2 linked regions of the Elephas maximus indicus genome follow. The protein of the gene in region 2 purifies or fractionates together with the protein of the main gene of each other region. This does not show direct contact. Links are inferred from orthologs where the notes say so. Each region holds a gene or a part of one and is shown on either strand. Other genes may lie near its edges. The genes, in order: RASSF3 and STK4.

Region 1 (9,289 bases), on a different chromosome or scaffold from region 2:
AGATTATATAAATGATTCTAGGCCATTCTGTGTGTCCTGAACGTGTCCTGTATCCATAGGTAGTTTGATTTTATTGGAATACCCGAATAGGCAAATTATGAGCTACAGAACTGTCTATTACCTATGGTCTCCTTGAAACAACAACCAACTCATGGTGACCATATGTGTGCAGAGTAGAATTCCTTCACAGGGTTTTCAAGGCTGTGACCTTTTGGAGCAGACTGCCAGGCCTGTCTTCCGCAGTGCTGCTGGGTAAGTTCAAACCATCAACCTTTTGGTTAATAAAAAATTTAAAAACCTTGTTTGCTTCTAATCAATTCCAATTCATAGCGACCCTATAGATCAGAGTAGAACTGCCCCATAGAGTTCCCAAGGAGCACCTGGTGGATTCAAACTGCTGACCTTTTGGTTAGCAGCTGTAGCTCTTAAGCATTACTCCAGAAAACGTCTGTGCCACCCAGGATTTTATAGGTAGGGCAGCAGATTGAAATTTTAAGCAACTCCTAAATTATAGCTGTCCACATTTGCCAAATGAAAACGGATTTTTTTAAATTATTTTTATAGCTGATAAAGCAACAAAAAGGAGACTGGGATTTGTATCAGAATACCTGAGTTCCAGCCCTTACCCCAAGTGTGGGCCTTTCAGGGTGATCGCTTAACAGCACCTCACCTTTCATTAGGTTAGTGCTTCAGAGGATTCTTGGAAGAATCATAAGATTTTTGAAAACAACAAAGAGCCAATTATTATCAAACCAGGAAAGCATTAATTCAGTCACTAGTATTCACTGAGCAACAACTGGTACTGGTCTAGGCCCTGAGGATACAGTGACAAACGTGACATTCAAACAGCTACAAAAGGCCATATGTTCATTCACTTGACACCCATATAAGTGAATTTTTAACTGTTTTCTTCCTTTTTTTTTTTTTGTTTCCAAGAGAACAGGATACCAAAATAAGAAGGAAAATAACTTTTTTTTTTTTTTTTTTTATTGTTGTGGACGGAAAGGAGTTGGGAGACAGAAGTTGGGATATGTTCCGTTGCCTGGTAAGAGAAGAAAGATTTCTTCTGCCCCCACCTTTCTCCTCATCCTGTATTGACCACAAACATCTTGCTTTCTCTGGATATTTTCAAGAGTTTTCCCAGCTTTTCCACCAGGTGGTACAGTACCAAAAAAACCCAGTATTATCAATAAGAGCTCTTATGGCAACAATTCTCTTTCCATCTCTCTAGAGAAAAGATTATATTACATTATACGTCAGTGGTGTTTATCTTTTCCTTATAACTGCCAGCACAATACAATGAAGGCTTGCCTAGCCTTAGGTGACAGAAATCCTCTACATTAAGAGTGCCTTGCTTTGTATTTATTATGTTTTACTTCCTTAACTCACAAATCTTAGCAGGAATTTAAAAGATTCTCTCAGTCACTTCTTTAAATAAGCCAAAATTCCATCTAAGACTCAAAGTTTAGAACACTTTCTTCACCCGTCAAATAAGTCCTATCTCTAGACCTGGCATGTGTTAGGTCAAAAGGGGAAGTATACAGGCAACAAAGCTTCAGAACACATGTAGTTACCTCTTCAAGCAAAGAACTAGACCTTAGAATCCTGATTTTCAGCACAACACTTGAAAACACTCGTTAAGGTAGGCTAGTTCTAAATGCTAAATGAACAATATTACGTGAACGAGCATAATACATATGCTAAATGACTTACATAAATGAATGAGTGTAACACAGAAACACTGTAAGTGCATACACTTAGGAAAAAATCGATGCTCTTATCTTTAAGCACTGAAGGATTCTCAGTTCACATCAGGAGAACCCAAGAACCTGCAAGTTACTGGAGATTACCAGGCACTTCTGGAATAAACTTCAAACTATTATAATCATGTCTGACAACTGCATGTCAAATGGTAACAGCAACATAAGAGGAAGGAGAAAACAGAGTGGAGAAAGGAAAGAAAGAATAGAGAGGAACAAATGGGCCAAGGGAAAAAAGGCCCCCCAAAATGCAATTCTTCTATAACCTATTGGGGCTATAGGTTGGTTTCTGGCTTCCAAACTTCACAGAAATCTCATGCCATTAGAATACACTGCACGGAAGACAAGAGATCACTCAAAGAGACTAATAAATAGTGTGCACCTTTAAGCCTCAGAAACAACAAAGAAAAACTACTACACCAGAACTTCACTTTGAATTAACTGCTGTTACTGAATAAGCGCACTTGACTTCACTCTTGCCCTTAACCGTCCCCTCTCCCCCTCCTTCTAGTTTGAAACTTAAGAGGTTGAAAAGACTACAACTTCCGAATCTTAAAAAGAAATCTGAGCTCAGAACGTGGTTAAATAAACTTAAAAGGTCTGGCAAGGAAACCCTGAAAGATTACTGCCTCCCGACCCCCTAAAACTCATCATCCAGGCCCCTGAATGATTTTTCTTGCTTCTAGTCTCCAGGACTAAGTCAGTTAGAAATGTTTGGTGTGCCTGCTGCTTTTTAAGAGCAACAAATTTGTTCCATTAGACTTCTCTAATCTGATGTGAGCATGGCTGAGTTGGCAGGGCTCCCTGGTGCGGCTCCCAGGGCCTGGAGGGTGCGAGTTCAAGCGCCAGACTTGGAAGTCCTGCCGAAGTACTCAGTTTTGGGAAAACCTCCCTGAAAAACAGTGTCACGGCCGGCGAAACTGATCCAAGTTCCCTTCCCATCTTTTCCCAAGTCATGCTTCCCAGGGCATGCTTCCTCCAAAAAAGGAAGAAACCGGCCTAAAGCTTAGCTCGAGCGGTCATATTTACCTAGCACCAGAACTTGTCTGCAAAACATTCTAGGCACCTATAAACTTGACTTCACAGGAAACGCACAACCTTGACTCCCGCAACCAACATTTATTGATCGTCTACTGTCGTCAGGCCCTCGGCTTCCCTCAAGACGCTCCCGGACCAATAAGGGGGAGGCGGCCTGGTCACCGCGTCCACCCCCTTGCTGTTACCCGGTTCCACTACCCCCCCGCCAAGGCACTCAGAGGGCCACTGGTCACTGAGAAGACTAAGAGTAGGGGCTGGCACGCCGACCCAACCGTTTATCCACGGGGGCGCGAAGGGCGTTCCCCGGACGCGGGGGAAACGCCAGGAGTGGTCCGGGGCACCAGAATCGCTCTCGGAACTGCTCCCCGGCAGCCGGCTCAGCGCACCGGCTCCGCCGAGAGCGCGGCGATCACCAGCAGCCCCGGGGCAGAGCCGTAGAGCCCATCTGGCGCGGAAGGCAAGAGGGGGCGCCTCAGCCTCCGCGTTCTTCCTCCTCCTTCGCTCACCCAGGGCGCCCCCTGCGAGCACGCCCACATGCACAAACTCGAGGCACGTTCCCGGGATCCAAAGAGGCAGAAGCCACTTCTCGGAGGCCGCCTGCTATACGCGGCGAGTATCGTTCGCGCGACCCCACGGAGCCACGTGGAGTCTGGGGGCCCGGGACCGCTTAACCCCAGGGAGCGATGGGGCGCGGGTCATTCTGAGCGCACCACTCACTTGCTGACCGGCGCGGGGCTTGCCCTGGGGCGCTCTTCTGAAGAAGGAGGTCCTGGCGGTGAAGAAGAAGTCCTCGGCGTCCTCCTCCAGGCTGCTGTAGCCGCTGCTCATGCTGCTGGTCCCGTCGCGTACAGGCAGCCTTTCCGGGGCGCAGGCGGCCAAGCAGGGGGCGCCGCGCCCTCCTGCCCCGCGAGGCTCCCGGCGCGCGGCCCCCAAGCGCCGGCGGGCCGTCCTGCTACAGCTGCAGCCGCCGCTCAGCCCGGCCGTCCCGCCCCTCCAGCTGCCTCGCCACCCCACTCCTGGCGCTGCCGGGGACCCGGTGCGTCCACCGCCCCGCCTTCCGGGGCCCCGCCCCACAGCCGGCCTGCCTGGGCCGGGCGGTCCGGTCGGCCCCACCCCTGGCGGCCGCAGGTGGGGGCGGAGCGGCCCGCCCCTGCCAGGCGCTCGGCTCTTAACCGTTTTTGTGCAACCGGGAAAACCCGGTTCGGGAGCTGCGTAGAGTGGTGCGGTGCCCTGGATCGCTTCCCCAACCTCCCGGAAACTGTCGTCTCTGATCTGTCCGCCCGCCCCCTACTCCGCTGGTTCGCATTTTGGGGAGGGCGGGAGCAGAGCTGGGAAATTTCCCCGCGGTCGCGGCCCTACTCGCTCCCACTCTGAGCCCTGCGGGTGGCGGTGAAGACTGCCTGGCCGGGGTGGGGGTGGGGGTGGGGGTGGGGGTGGGGTGGGGTGGGGTGGGGTGGGGTGGGGGTGGGGGACCCTAAACCTCGGGCGTCCTGGAGCCGGAACTTGCCGTCCCAAACTCCCAACAGATCGCCCTTTATGGCGGGTTAGAAGTTAGCGGAGATGGCGGGGAAATTACCAACTGGGTTAAGTTTATTCGAATGAAAATGTCCTCTCTGGCAATTTAATTGAGCTCCGTTCTTTCCCTCTTCCCCTTCTCTCTAGCGCGGGGTCATTCCCAGTTGAGGACAGCCAAGGTCGTTGTGATCTCAGAGACACCTGGTGCAGAGGGGAATGAACTGGTTCAATAGAGAAAGTGTTAAACAATTGTGTGCTTGTTATTTAAATATACTTTTTAAACGTCCGCTTCCTAAATCTGCCTTACATGGTGAACCTACAGGTGTGGTTTAAGTAGTTTGGGGGGTGAGGGGCATCAAAGAATCTCATTCATCCACCTACCAAAAAAGTTGCCATACTTTTTTAAAATTCTACAAGTCCCCAAATCTTCTCTTAAAATGAACAATCACCCTGCAAACCACCTATAGGTACCAGTCATTTACACCTTTGTGTGTACTAAATTGTTTAAATTATACTCATTTCCTAGCAGAGATCCTGAAGGTTGTTTTGAACCCTAAGATGTTGAAAAGCACAGCTACAGTAAGTAGGCTTCAGGAGAGGTTTTATTAGGAGGGGAAGAAAAGGGTTAAGAGAGAAAATTTTCACCTATCATAGCTAAGCTTTCTCCCTGAACCTTCAAAACAACTCTATAAGGTAGTCAGTACTGTTTTATGCCTCTTTTACACTGAAAACAGCCGAGGTTTAGAGAGAGGAAGGGAGCCAGCTGTAGGTGTCAGGGCACGAACCACTCCGCTCTGCTTTATCCTGGTGTTAAAAAAAAAAGTGTTAACATGTTAAAAAATACCCCTCTAGGCCCTCACTTGTTTGGTGGTCAGCCTTGCTCATTTGTGTACTAGTGGAAGGAGCGCTGGACCAGAGATGGCCGGAAAGAGAGAAGTAAAATTAGTTCATAAATCACCTATCTAGCCCCCAGGCAAAAACAAGGCTTGCACACCTACTTACTTTGCCTCAGACCCACTTTGCACACATCCCACTGGCAAAGCTGTATATTACCCCCACGTGGTTCACAACAACTCCATTGGCATACAGCACCTTTTAAAGTATCCACAACATTAAAGCCTTCTTAGTCACACAGCTACTAAATGGTTAGAAGCCAGGAATTCTAACCCCACATTGTGTTGCCCAGTCTAAACTGATTCCTGTATGTTCCACACAACCTCATGGAAGAGAATACAACGATTTACTTACTTTATGAAAGATTTTTCTTATTTGGTTTCCATTCTTACACTACTTCATTAATGTAATCCTTATTAAATAATCCAATTTAAGAGTGATGTGTACGTTAAAGAATTCAAATAACTTATTTTATTATGAGTGGAAAGGGGAAATAACCCCATCCAGAACAAATTATTTTAAAGTTTCTGAATACTCTGAGGAAAATATTAAAAAGAAAATACATGAAAGTGCTTTATGGTCGACCATGCCATAAAAGGTGGCACTGTGGTTAAAAACTGAGCTGCTACCAAAAGGTCAACAGTTTGAATTCACCAGCTGCTCCTTGGATACCCTATGGGGTAGTTCTACTCTGTCCTATAGGGTCACTCTATGAGTTGGAATCGACTCAATGGCAATGGGGTTGGTTTGGGTTTTTTATGCCATAAAAACCAATTTTTTCATTCTATTGTTTGTAAGTTACAAAGGACCGAATTAATTTTTATATCCTTCAGCAAACCAACAGAATCAATTATAGCGAAAAGGCATGATTGAATAATGAAGTAGAAGCACTACTTTCAAACAACAAAAAGCAAAAAAATAATAAATGAAAGAAGAATTGGCCTTCTGTTTCCAAAACCAGCATAATAATCATATTTCTATATTTTATAGCATTCTTAATAAAAATACAAATTTAAAATTTGGTTAATGAATTTAGTGTTTGTAAAAATTCAAAATACTACGTTAAGCAACTTGACATTTTTAACATTTAAAATTCAGGGAAAGGGAGTGGAATAAACAACATGTACGCAACCAAGGTTAGTTTTGAAAGGACTTGCTGTCAAACACAGAATTGAATGTTTGAGTAGATTCTGTGACCATTAATGTTCCAGCAATTTGTAAAACCCTAATGATTTAGATTTACGGTCCGGGAGAAAGACCGTATAATTTCTGTGTATGTGGGGAATATATTTAAAATGTAGTAAATACCTGCAAATATTATAAACACACAACCGTTTTGTAATTGTATTTTAGTAACCCTGCAATCAAATTATTTTAAGTTAATACAAAAGAAGAGGCCTAAGTAACAGTTTAACCTTCTTGCTCACCAGATAATCCACAATGAGAACAACAATCCTATAAATGTAATTATCAACCAAAAAGTTTAAATCATTAGTCAGATTCCTTAAGTAGTGTTTATCTGAGTCCACAAATGGTAGAAACTCATTTATAATAAATGTAGGAGAAATTTAAGGCACAACCATACTTTGACTAACTACAATTAAAAGTAAAATTTTTCTTTTACCAACTTTTCCTAATAAATGTAAAACAGCATCATAAAGGAAAAGGTTTCTAGATTTGCCTATGTAAAAATCCAAATATTTTGCACATACACATACACAATACTAAAAGACAAAAGACAAACTTTTTTCTTTTGCCATATAATGTTTGCCGTATAAATGACACAGGGCTGATATCCTTAAAATACAAAGAGCTTGCGTAAATTAGTAAATAAGTTGAACATCTCATCAGAAAAATAAGCAAAGAACATGACAAGCAGTTCATGAGAGGAGAAATGTAAATAACCAATAAGTATATTAAAACATTCATTCAGTCAGCAAATATTTATTAAGCACATACTACATGCCAGATACTGATCTCATCACAAAGGATAAATCACTTGGACAAAACAGACAAAAATCTTTATTCTCATAGAGCTTATATTTTAGTGGGTGTTGGTAGATAAAAATTACATAGTGTGTTAGAAGATAATAAATACTCACATAAATCATGGAAAAAAGATAAAGGATGTTTTACGTAGCCTGGTTATTGAAGTTCTCGTGGAGGAACATTTTGAGCAAGGATAATGTAGGAGATGAAGAAGCCACTCCTGCAGATATCTGTGGGAAAGCATTTCAGCCAGAGAGGACAGCAAGTGCAAATGTCCTGAGGTATGAGAGTGCTTAGCATGTTTAAACAAAAGCAAAGAAGCCAGTGTGTCTGAAATGAATAGGTGGAGGGGAGAATATTAGGAATGATTTAGAAAATATTATTGGAATCATTATTCCCTGTCCTTGAGCATAGAGAATGTGACCCAGCTGGAGCCTGGCTCACAAGGATTCACAAAGACACATCAACTGGGCCCTGAGGTATAAAGACAATAGCTAGGATAATCTTGGAAAATGGATTTTAGGGAAGCTTTCACATAAGCCAATCAAACAGAACATAGACTTCCCACTCTTTTTCTGTTAGCATTTAGTGAATAGAAAATTTGTTGGACCAGTGAAGACCCTCCAGACTGTTGTTACTGAAACCTGTACCACTGATTATTAAGAAAGATAATGCAAAATGTAGGATCGCAGTTTTTAGCCAATCTGTGAAAAGGCAAAGCTTTCAGTGGTTTTGCCCATTTGCAATGTTAATATGTACTCATGATGGTAATCTTCACTGGGCTCCGGCAGACATAGCTATGGCAGCATGCTTGTCCGTTTTCCCACTCTTGGCTATTCTGTAGTATTCTTTGGACTGGGGCAGACATGGCTCGGACAGCACGCTTGTCCGCTTCTCAGTTTTGCCTTTTTGAATATATGCCGAATAAAACTTTCTTTTTCTTTACTAAACTTTGTGATGTTTTTTCCCTACAACAGGAATTATGATCAGAAATGTAACACGGACAAAGAGGTTATCATTCCTACAAGACCTTGAAAACATTTGTGAGAACTTTGGTTTTAGTTTTTCTCTGAGATGAGAAACCACCGGAGTGTTTTGGGCAGAGGAGTCACATGATTTGACTTATTTCACTTCTTTTTTTTTAAAGGACCCCTTTGGCACCTGGATGGAGAATAAGTAAATGAAAACAAAGGAGTACATTTTTCACTCATGAAATTGGCAAATATTTTTTAAAAGCAAGTCATGAATCAGCATCTATAATATAATTACATCTATGTAAATATAATCGTAGGTAAATGTTGTTCTGGTGCTAGAAACAGGTAGTTTATCAGGGAGATACATAATAAATTTATATTAAAGGCCACATTGACAGATAACTGAAACCTGTGTGATTTGGAAAAAGCATGGCCTTGGAGGCCGGGCAGACCTGACTTTGAATGCTGAAACTGTCAGCCTTGCGTGACCTTTAACAAATTAGCTTCTCCGTGTCTCAGGTTCATCACTGGTTACCATAAGGATTAAATGAGAGAATCCGTGAAAGCCGTTGGCACAGAATAAGGCTAAGCAAATATTACTCTTTCTTGCCTCAAATATTAGACCTTGTTGCATACTCAACATCCATTATCTACTTCTTCCTTGTTAACCAAACAATTTAGTTCAGGGGCCCTCCTCTCAGGGAAGAAGCTCAATCCCCAGCTCAGGGGTGAATCCAGATTTCCAGTCAGTTGTGATGGTCTCATCCCCTTGCCAGGGACTGTTTTAGGCCCAGGCAGGCCGATCCCAATCACTGAGATGGGAAAGCAAGTCTGGTAGGTGGCTTTTGAGAAAAGTTTCCACACCTTAAGAAGAGGCGCACAGGGTTTGGTGACCATGGTTTCAGGGGACATCTAAGTCAATTGGCATAATAAAATCTATTAAGAAAACATTCTGCATCCCACTTTGAAGAGTGGTGTCTGGGGTTTTAAACGCTAGCAGGCAGCCATCTAAGATGCGTCAATTGGCCTCAACCCACCTGAATCAAAGGAGAATAAAGAACACCAAGGACACAAGGTAATTACAAGCCCAAGAGACAGAAAGGGCCACATGAACCAGAG
Region 2 (9,652 bases):
TCAACTTCTACAGAAACCACAGCATAACAAAGGAAACTGCCAATGCCATGAGTGAAACGGCTGCAAACCTCTGATAATACTTTGACAGACAAACTTCATGCAGCTGCTCAGATAGTCCTTTATAAAAATCTAAGTGGTTCCTTGTTTGTTTGTGTTGAGTCCAGAGTTATTTTAAAACAACCTGAACTTCAGGGGCCTTTACATCTCTGGTGCCTGATAAAAAATAGTGGTCAATAAATATTTGCTAAATGCATTAATGAATATAATGATAGGAATCATAACCATCGTCAACAAGTTTTATGAGTTTTCAAAATAAAACAGTATTTCACCTAAGAGTAAGATTTCTATGGAAAATCTTCTGATAAGTGACTCTTAATGATATTTCATACCGTGAGTCTTCATGGAACAAGTACGATGACCAAAACAGCCCAACTTTGATGATGCAGCTCTCTTGGCTGGGACTTACCCAGGTCCCAGGTTGTTTCGGCACTTGCTCATGAGCAAACAGGCCTGGCCAACACAGCCTCCGTGGACCTAATACCAGTGGATGCTCCTCTCCAGTCAGATGACCAGGTAGGTGGCCAGCATCCCAGGAATGCAATCTACATGTTCCACCACCCCGACATTATTTAACCGCACTCACTTTTTTAAATCATCAAGTCCTACATAAGATACCAACTTTAATCCAGCATCATTCACTTAGTCACACACAACAATCAAACTCATGAACACAAAGAGCATTTCCTGCCTTGGAGTTGCTAGCCCTTGTTGGAAAGGCATACCAACTGCATCTCTGAAAAGACATTGGTATCTTTTAAAAGGGTGCTTATGAAGTGGTCACACAGGTTTCTCAAACTTCTTTCTCCCAACTTAGAACTCCTGTTGTTGTCACTCACGGCGACCTTATACACAACAGAATGAAACTCTGCCTGGTCCTGCACCATCGTCATGATCTTTGATATATCAGAGCCCACTGTTGTGGCTATCTTATCAATCCAGCTCACTGAGGGTTCCCCTCATTTTTGCTGACCCTCTACTTTACAAAACATGATGTCTTTTTCTAAGGATTGGTCTTTCCTAATGACACGTCCAAAGAACTCCTGTAAGATTTATTTTATTGATATACACCTACCCCTCTTTCCATGAGTCAGAATCGACTCGAGAGCAACTGGTTTAGTTTTGTTTTTCTCTTTCACACAGAATTTGATAGGGTTTGCAATAAATATATAAGATAAACCGATGGAGTTTTTTAAAAACTTATCGGCTGTAGTCCCACTAGTTATGATGATCATGAAAGCACTAATCATCCAAGAACTCGGTCTTGAATGCTCTTCTCTTGCAATTTTAATTAAAAAAAAAAAATCCAAAAGATACAGGAACAAGCATGTCAGAAAGTGAAAAAGGCTTATTCCTTAGCCCAAGATTATACAACACAAGGCAATCGTAGAAACAAAATTTAGATTCTTAATCCTCTTTTCAGTTAAACCAAGGCCTGGTTCTCAAGGAGAAAGAATGCACATACATCAGATAGAAACAACCAGTGTACATTTATAATTGGTTCTCTATGGTGCTATGGTAAATATCTGCTAATATACACAAGGTCCTGCGAAACGGGGGTACTTCCAGAGAAGCAGTGGAATGAAGAGTTGAGAGCATGAACATTGGTCCAGACTGCCTGGATTAAAATCCCAGTTTTGCCACTTACTGGAGCCCTGGTGACACAGTGGTTGAGAGCCTGGCTGCTAACCAAAGGCACAGGAGTTGGAATCTACCAACCACTGGAGTAGTTCTACTCTGTCCTATAAGGGCCACTATGAGTCGGAATCGGCTCAATGGGTTTTTGCCACTTATTAGCTGCGGGACCTCCAGCAAATCACTAACCTCTCTGTGCCTCAATTTTATCATCTGTAAAATAGGATATAGAGATATTCTCTTTACAGGATTGTTTTGAGGGCTAAACCAAAACCAAAGCCAGTGCTGTCGAGTCGATTCCGACCCATAGCGACCCTACAGGACAGAGTAGAATTGCCCCATAGAGTTTCCAGGAAGCGCCTGGCAGATTCGAACTGCCAACCCTTTGGTTGGCAGCCGTAGCACTTAACCACTACGCCACAACGGTTTCCTTTGAGGACTAAACGAGTTAATAATAAATTGAACCATATGACATCACAATTTTTACAGGTCCAAAAAAATGAAGAAACCAAACCCATTGCCACTGAGTCAATTCCAACTCATAGCGATCCTATAGGACAGAGTAGAAGTACCCCATAAGGGTTTCCAAGGAGAGGCTGGTGGTCTTGAACTGCCAACCTTTTGGTTAACAGCTGAGCTCTTAACCACTGTGCCACCAGGCCTCCTTTTACAGGTCAATAATAGTCAAATATCAGCAATTTCATACAGTTCAACAGAAGACATGGAAAGCACTTGAACAATGCCTGGCACAGTATACACTCACTCTATGTGTGCTAATCATTTCTATTACAGTCTCTGCACACTACACAAGAGTGAATTCTGAGTCCTTCCCAACCAGCTATTTGCCTTCTGAAATGTTTGCCCACCTCAAACAACCCCAAGTGTGCTGCCTAATCCTTTGGCTTCATCTCTCCCTTGCCCCTAACTCCCACACACTGAACACTTCCTACTTCAGTGATCCTTCTGCTGCAGGAAGTCAGAGGGCTCTGCGAAATAGAAGCGAAGTACACTGCACTTCAGAGAAGTATGATTCTCTCAGCATCTACTCCCCACTTTTCTCTAGATGCAACAAGGTGACAAAAACTCTGGTGACCACAGAGCAAATCAAAGACAACTGCGACCAAACTTTCTAGGGTCAGTCATCTCCCTGATCTTGGCCTAAAGACAACTCCAGTGGAGGCCAGAAAAGGACACAGCCTAGCTGGGTGCAGTGACCCAGACCTACAGCAAAGAAGGAAACAAATAGGGCTCTGTCTCAACTCTTTTGGGTCTCAGTTTGTCCATCTTGAAAATATCCTCTTATTTCCTAACCTACCTCCCCAAATCAGGTTTTGAAGGGATAAGGACGAGAGGAAGGCACTCTGGACATCAGGAATGAAAATGCCACCATCAACCTAGAGAGTGGGGATATTACCAAGAGCATCCCCCCGAAATGCTACCTTCCACGGACTGCTCCCTAGCTAGACCCTCACACCTGTCTTCCCACGCCTTCAGCCTTAGGCGCAGAGCTTTTCCCCTCAGCAGAGCATCCCCCGTTGGGTCGTTCAGGTGGGACTCCCTCCCTTAGAAGTCCACTCCAGCCTCCCTCCTGCTAGGAAGGCTAGCAACCCCTTAGACAGGCCCCTCATGGGTTCTCATCCTGCTTCAGAGCCCACCAGCCCCCACCCCAGTAAGTCCTCTTGGAGAGCCTTCGCCCGAGTGATCCTCGCCTTGAGCATGCACTCCTCCTAACTTGTCCCCAGGTTTATCCTCCTCAACCACCACTTTCCAGAGATCTCCACTCCGCAGGTGCCCCCAGCAGCCAGGTCGCCCGCCCCGCAGGTCCCTCCTCCCCGGGGGTTCCCACACAGGTATCTCCCCGCAGCCAGCTCGCGCCTTTCTCCTACGCCCCGTCGGCACCCTTCCTCTTAACCACTGCCCCCTCACCGGCGCGGTGGGTTCCTCAGCTGCACCGTCTCCATGGCGCTGCCGGCAGCGGCCCGTACCCGCTCACTGCTCCATCCTCCTTCTGGACCTCCCCAAGCCCGCCCCACAGACCCTCCCACACTTCCGCTTTCCGCCCCTACCGGAAGCGGCGTGCAGGGCGGGAGCGGGGCGGAGCCGCCAGGGGGCGGGGAAGCGGACCTGGATCACGTGGTCAGAAATCTAAGTCACGTGGCCCGGCAAGGCGGGAACACGGAACCGCCCAGCGAAAGAGTGTTTTCCCTGCTGCGTCCTCGCCTGAGCTTCAGACTGTTGGTGGTGGAGTCTCCTAGCGGCATCGTTTGCCAGAGACATTCGGTCCCTGGTCGGGAACCCACTTCTGTGCCGGTTCTGGCCCTCCCTTTCTCAGATGGAGATACTGAATCTTCTTGCGAAACGGTGACTTGTTGAGAACTGTCGATTTTTAGCAATCTAAATTCTACACTGTTTATGGGAAGCCCTGCTTCAGGGGCTCCTGGAGAACTCTTACCTGCTTGAACTCTTGTCCCAGTGCAAACCCTTCCCTTGGATGTCACAGAACATCTATCTGCAAATTGCCCCACCCTGTCTAACTGCCTCGCCTTTGAGTCAGTTTTGGACACAGAAATAGCAAACATTTACATAGCATTTGCCACGTGTTTGCATTCATTTAGTATCTCATTTAAGCCTCACATCAAGTCTGTAAGGTTATCCCTGTCTTTATGTGTTTGCATAACTATTTTGGGAGTCGCTTAGTGATACAACTCATAGCAACCGTGTATGAGTCAAATCGACTCCACCAGCCACGGGTTTGGTTTTTTGTTTTGAGTGATACAAATGGTTAATGCAGTAGGCTTTGTGGTTTCAGTTCACCAGAGGTGCCTCGGAAGAAAGGCCTGGGGATCTACTTCCAAAAAATCAGCCATTGAAAACCCTATGGAGCACAGTTCTACTGAGACACACCTGGAGTAGCCATGAGTTGAAACCAACTTGATGGCTATTGGTTATAACTATTTGAAAAAGAGTGCTCTGTTCTCAGCACTGTACTAACATTAACTCATTTAATCCTCCTACCAGTCCTACAGGAAACCATGGTGGCATAGTGGTTAAGTGCTACGGCTGCTAACCAAGTGGTCTGCAGTTTGAATTCACCAGGCGTTCCTTGGAAACGTTATGGTGCAGTTCTACTCTGTCCTGTAGGGTCTCTATGAGTCAGAATTGACTGAATGGCAGTGGGTTTGGTTTTTTGGTTTACCAGTCCTACAAGATAAGTACTATCATTAACGTTATTTTATAAGCCCTTAGAGGTGAAGTGTGTTGCTTCAAGGTCACAGCTAAAAGTAGAGGTTTGGAGATTCAAATCTAGGTCTGATTCCAGAGCCTGCCCCACCAAACTAGATAACTGGTTATGCGTATCTTCTAGTTGGGCAAGAGAGACAGACCTCCCCCTGCCAACTCAGAGTTCCAGTTCCAGATATTACAATTCAGAAATACTCAGTCGCTACCACCATCAGTGTTCTTCCCAATTTACTGAAGAGAAGAGTTAGAGGAGAAAGCTTACCCAAAGCAAACTCTCAGAAGTTTCAATTGTCCTGTTTTTCCAAAAGGTATGCCATCTACTGTTTTAGGAAATAATATTGGAATCATTATTCTCTGTCCTTGAGCATAGAGAATGTGACCCAGCTGCAGCTGGACTCACAAGAAGTCACGAGAATAAATCAACCAGGCCATGAAGTATAAAGACAATAGGTAGGATAATCTTGGAAAATATCTTTCAGGGAACCTTTCACATAAGCCAATCAACAGTGCACAAAAGACTTTCCACTCTTACTATTAGCATTTAGTGAATGGAAAATTTGTTGGACCAATGAAGACCCTATTGACTGTCATTACTGAAACCTGTACCAATGATTGTTAAGAAAGGCAATTCCAAATGTAGGATCACAGTTTCTACCCAATCTATGAAAAGATGAAGCTTTTGATGGTTTTCCCCATTTTGTAACGTTAATATATACTGATGATCTGTAACTTTCCTTGGACTCCGGCAGACATGGCTGTGGCAACATGCTTGTCCATTTTCCCATTCTTGCCTATTCTGTAATATTCCTTGGACTCTGGCAGACGTGACTCTGGCAGCATGGTTGTCCACTTCCCACTTTTGCCTTTTTGAATATATGCCAAATAAAACTTCCTTTTTGCTTTATTAGACTTTGTGACTACAAAACTTAGCACTTAAACAACACCCTCCAGGGCCACCTATCTATGGCACCCCACGTGCCAAAAATGACAAGGTATAATAGAACCATTCTCCTGATGTCATATGGAAGACCGTTTACTGAGAATATACTATGTGCCAGGCACTGTTCTGATCTTTGACTTAACCCTCAAAATAACCTTATGATTAAGGATTATTATCCCCAGTTTATAAATCAATTAACTCAGGGGAGAAATATTTAAAAGGCAAAAAAAAAAATTTTTTTTTGTATTACATATTTCTCCAATAATGTCTGTCTTAGTTATCTAGTGCTGCTATAACAGAAATACCACAAACGCATGGCTTTAATAAAGAGAAGTTTATTTCGTCACAGTAAAATAGGCTAACAGTCCAAACTCAGGGCATCAGTTCCAGGGAGAGGCTTTCTCTCTCTGTTGGCCTTCTCGACAATGTTCCCCTGGACTAGGAGCTCCTCTGTGCAGGGACCCCAAGTCCAAATGACATGCGTTCTTCCTGGCATTGCTTTCTTGGTGGTATCAGGTCCCCCACTCTCTGCATGCTTTACTTCCTTTTGCTGCTTGTAAGATAAAAGGTGGTACAGGCCACACGCCAGGGAAACTCCCTTTACATTGGATCAGGGAGGTGACCTAACCAAGGGTGTTACATCCCGCCCTAATCCTCTTTAACATAAAATTACAATCACAAAATGGAGGACAACCACACAATAGTGGGAATCACGGCCAAGCCAAATTGATACACTCATTTTTGGGGGGACATAATTCAATCCATGACAATCTGTGTGCATATTACCCTATTAAAATGACTTCATCTGTAGTATCTATTCTTTCCCCAGTTATGTTAAATGCGGCCTTGACGAGATGGCTAACTCTGAGAGAGATCTTAATATCAAAAAGTCACCTGTTGAAAAATGAAAACAACACAAATGTCCATCAATGGGTGGTTGGATAAACAAAATGTGGTATATCCCTTCAATGGAATATTGTTTAACAATAAAAAGAAATGGAGAACTGATACGTGCTACAACATGGATGAACCTTGAAATGTGAGGCATGCAAAAAGTCAGTTACAAAGCACCAAATATTATATGATTCCATACATATGACATGTCCAGAAGCTGTGGTGCATTTTAATGGCCTGCCTTTGCAAGTTACATAGAGTCACTTCCACTGTTGAGGGGCCCACAAAGACCTGCCCATTTTCAATGACAGGAGACATAGATTCCATCTCTTGATGGGGGAGCTGTAAGGTTCTGGAAGAGCGTGTGGGTCTGGAAATATTGTTGTGGCTATTTTTCAAAAACACAATTTGCCACAAGTGTACTTGTCTGGTGTATTAATTAGGACATATCCAGCTGCAAGTAATTGACAATATCTAAAAGACAGCTTAAGGCACTGTTACCAATCGCCAATCTGACACAAAGGGTCCTTGTCTTTTCCCTAGTAAAAATACACGTGAAAGGCAAACTTTATCTTCAGCAAGGTTTATTTTCCTTGGGTCAAGTCAAAGGAGTCAGTAGGGGACTAAGCCTCTCCAAAAGACTGACTCAAAAAGGGAAGCAAGGCTAGGGATTATATGGGTTCGGCGGAGACAACAGAGTAATGAATACTTAGTGGGCTTCTTTCAAGGGACAGGTACTTCTCAGGATGGTGGTGCATGTTAATTAGGTTGTATGTGCATCTGGCTTCTGTGCATGTGGCGCCTGTACAGGGGGAAGGGACTAGAAAAACACTAAGAAGAGATAGTAATTCATGGGTTGTTTCAACCTTTCCCATGTTGACAGGGTGTGGTTCCTGTTTACCCAACTTCAGATGGTAATCTTTTAACAGCTCTTAGTCCGCCAGCACAGTTAACCCTATCTGTCTCAGCGCCATGACATTTGTTGTTTATCAACAAGAAGTCCTGAAGTCAGCAGTTCCAGGGTTGATTCAGTGGCTCAACAATGTTAATTTTATTTTTCCTCACCCATCCTACTCAGCTGGTTGGCTCTTCATACTTGTACTTATTGCCTCACAGTTGCAAAATGGCTACCACACACCTCCAGGTATCACATCCTTAACCTAACACTACCCAAAGTAGAAAGAGAGCCAAAAAGATTATTCTATCTTGTACCTGTCTTTTTCTTCAGGGAGGACAAACTTTCCCATAAGCACCCAGTAGCCTTCCTCTTACCTCATTGGCCAGATCAGGGTCACATGCCCACTTCTGGACCAATCACTGACAAAAAAGAATGAGGTTACTGTGATTGGTTTGAAGCAATCCTGATTCCTTTCCAGGACCTGAGAGAATTCCAGGCAAAAATCGGGACTCTGGAAGCAAAGATGGAGGCTATTGAGTAGACCACTAACACAGTATGCCTCATCTGGTTTCCCCACCAAGGTGTCATTCTTTCTTCTTGGGTGGGACTTTCTCTGGCCTGAGGGGATTCAGATGGAACAGCCACCCAACACTCAGCAAGTTTATAGTCTGGTGAGTTTAGGAATTTACACAAATAATTTGAACTGTAAACTCCCAAAGGGCAGTGTGTGACCCTAACACTTCGCAACATGTTTTCTCCTTTTCAAAATGGGCGACTGAGAGCTTGACATAACTAATGCCATAGCCATACTCTAAGTAACCTATAAGTTTTTTTTATTGCACCAGCTGCACTGGTCTCTTTCCAAAAGGGTGCAGGGTCTTCTGGGCTCATTGCAGCCTTGGTCTCCCTCCTCTTTATTCTCTTGGAAGATGGCCTTCAGCCTGCAAGATGGCAGCTAGGAAGGCTGCCTGGAGCTTTTGGTCTGTAACTTTCCTTCTTGCTCCTCACCTCCTCGGTCAGAGTAAACTTGGCAGGCCAGTTCCACTAGCTGAGAGATTTTCATATAAGTTTTTTTTTTTTGCCTGTTACAAACATACAGATTAGAGTCCAGATGTCCGACATGCATATCTTTAGTTTAATAGTTTCTCGTAGTTGTGATGTATACTCATCCGCCCATCTGTGGGCCACATGCTTGAAAACATTGTGTAATCCTTGCAAAAATGAAGTATATGCTCTGATCTAGAAATTGATTTTTGGGACTTCATGAAGACAGCCTGCATTGCTGCTGGACTCCCTGTCGATGTTACCACCTAATAAACTTTCTCTTTCACTATAGATATTGGGGAGACAAAGGTGAAGAAGACCTACTTTCTGCCTTTAAAGACCTCCCACTCTTTGAGAAAAATCTATAAAGTGATAATCACAGAGTGATAAATGCCAAATGAAGGATAAGCCCAAGGAGCAATAGGAGCAGAGGAGGCACAGAATATGTGTTTGAGACTTTTCAGAGGAAATGATGTGGGAGTTGAGTATTACAGGTTCAGTCAGGATTGTTATTGTTGTTGTTGCTAGGTGCCATCAGTTGATTTCAACTCATAGCGACCCCATGTGACAGAGTAGAACTGCTGTAGTGTTTTCTAGGCTGTATTCTTTACAGGAGGAGCCCTGGTGGCACAGTGGTTAAAGCGCTGGGCTGCTAACCCAAAGGTCGGCAGCTCGAATCCACCAGCGGCTCTGAGGGAGAAAGATGTGGCAGTCTGCGTCCATGAAGATGTACAGCCTTGGAAACCCTATGGGACATTTCTACTCTGTCCTATAAGGTTGTGATGAGTCTGCATCAAAATCGACTACGGGTTGGACTCAACTCTGCAGCAATAGGTTTTTGCTTTTTTAAAATCCTTACAGGAGCAGATCACCAGGTTTTTCTCCCTGGAAGCCCCTTAGAGTGTATCTAAAGGAAATCCGCCCCGGAGGGAGATAGTGTGCAG

Evidence for each region.
Region 1: the proteins of STK4 (region 2) and RASSF3 purify together in Homo sapiens (affinity purification with mass spectrometry; 5 studies listed by BioGRID and IntAct, with this or other methods). This does not show direct contact. The link is inferred for Elephas maximus indicus from reciprocal best matches to the Homo sapiens genes STK4 and RASSF3.

The regions. Positions count from the first base shown.
Region 1 is NC_064822.1:124,833,713-124,843,001, reverse strand, and holds the start of RASSF3 (ras association domain-containing protein 3), read right to left. Parts: upstream 3,886-9,289; 5' UTR 3,627-3,885; coding exon 3,516-3,626; intron 1-3,515.
Region 2 is NC_064843.1:24,404,118-24,413,769, forward strand, and holds the start of STK4 (serine/threonine-protein kinase 4), read right to left. Parts: upstream 3,717-9,652; 5' UTR 3,654-3,716; coding exon 3,619-3,653; intron 1-3,618. UniProt on the Homo sapiens protein: Stress-activated, pro-apoptotic kinase which, following caspase-cleavage, enters the nucleus and induces chromatin condensation followed by internucleosomal DNA fragmentation.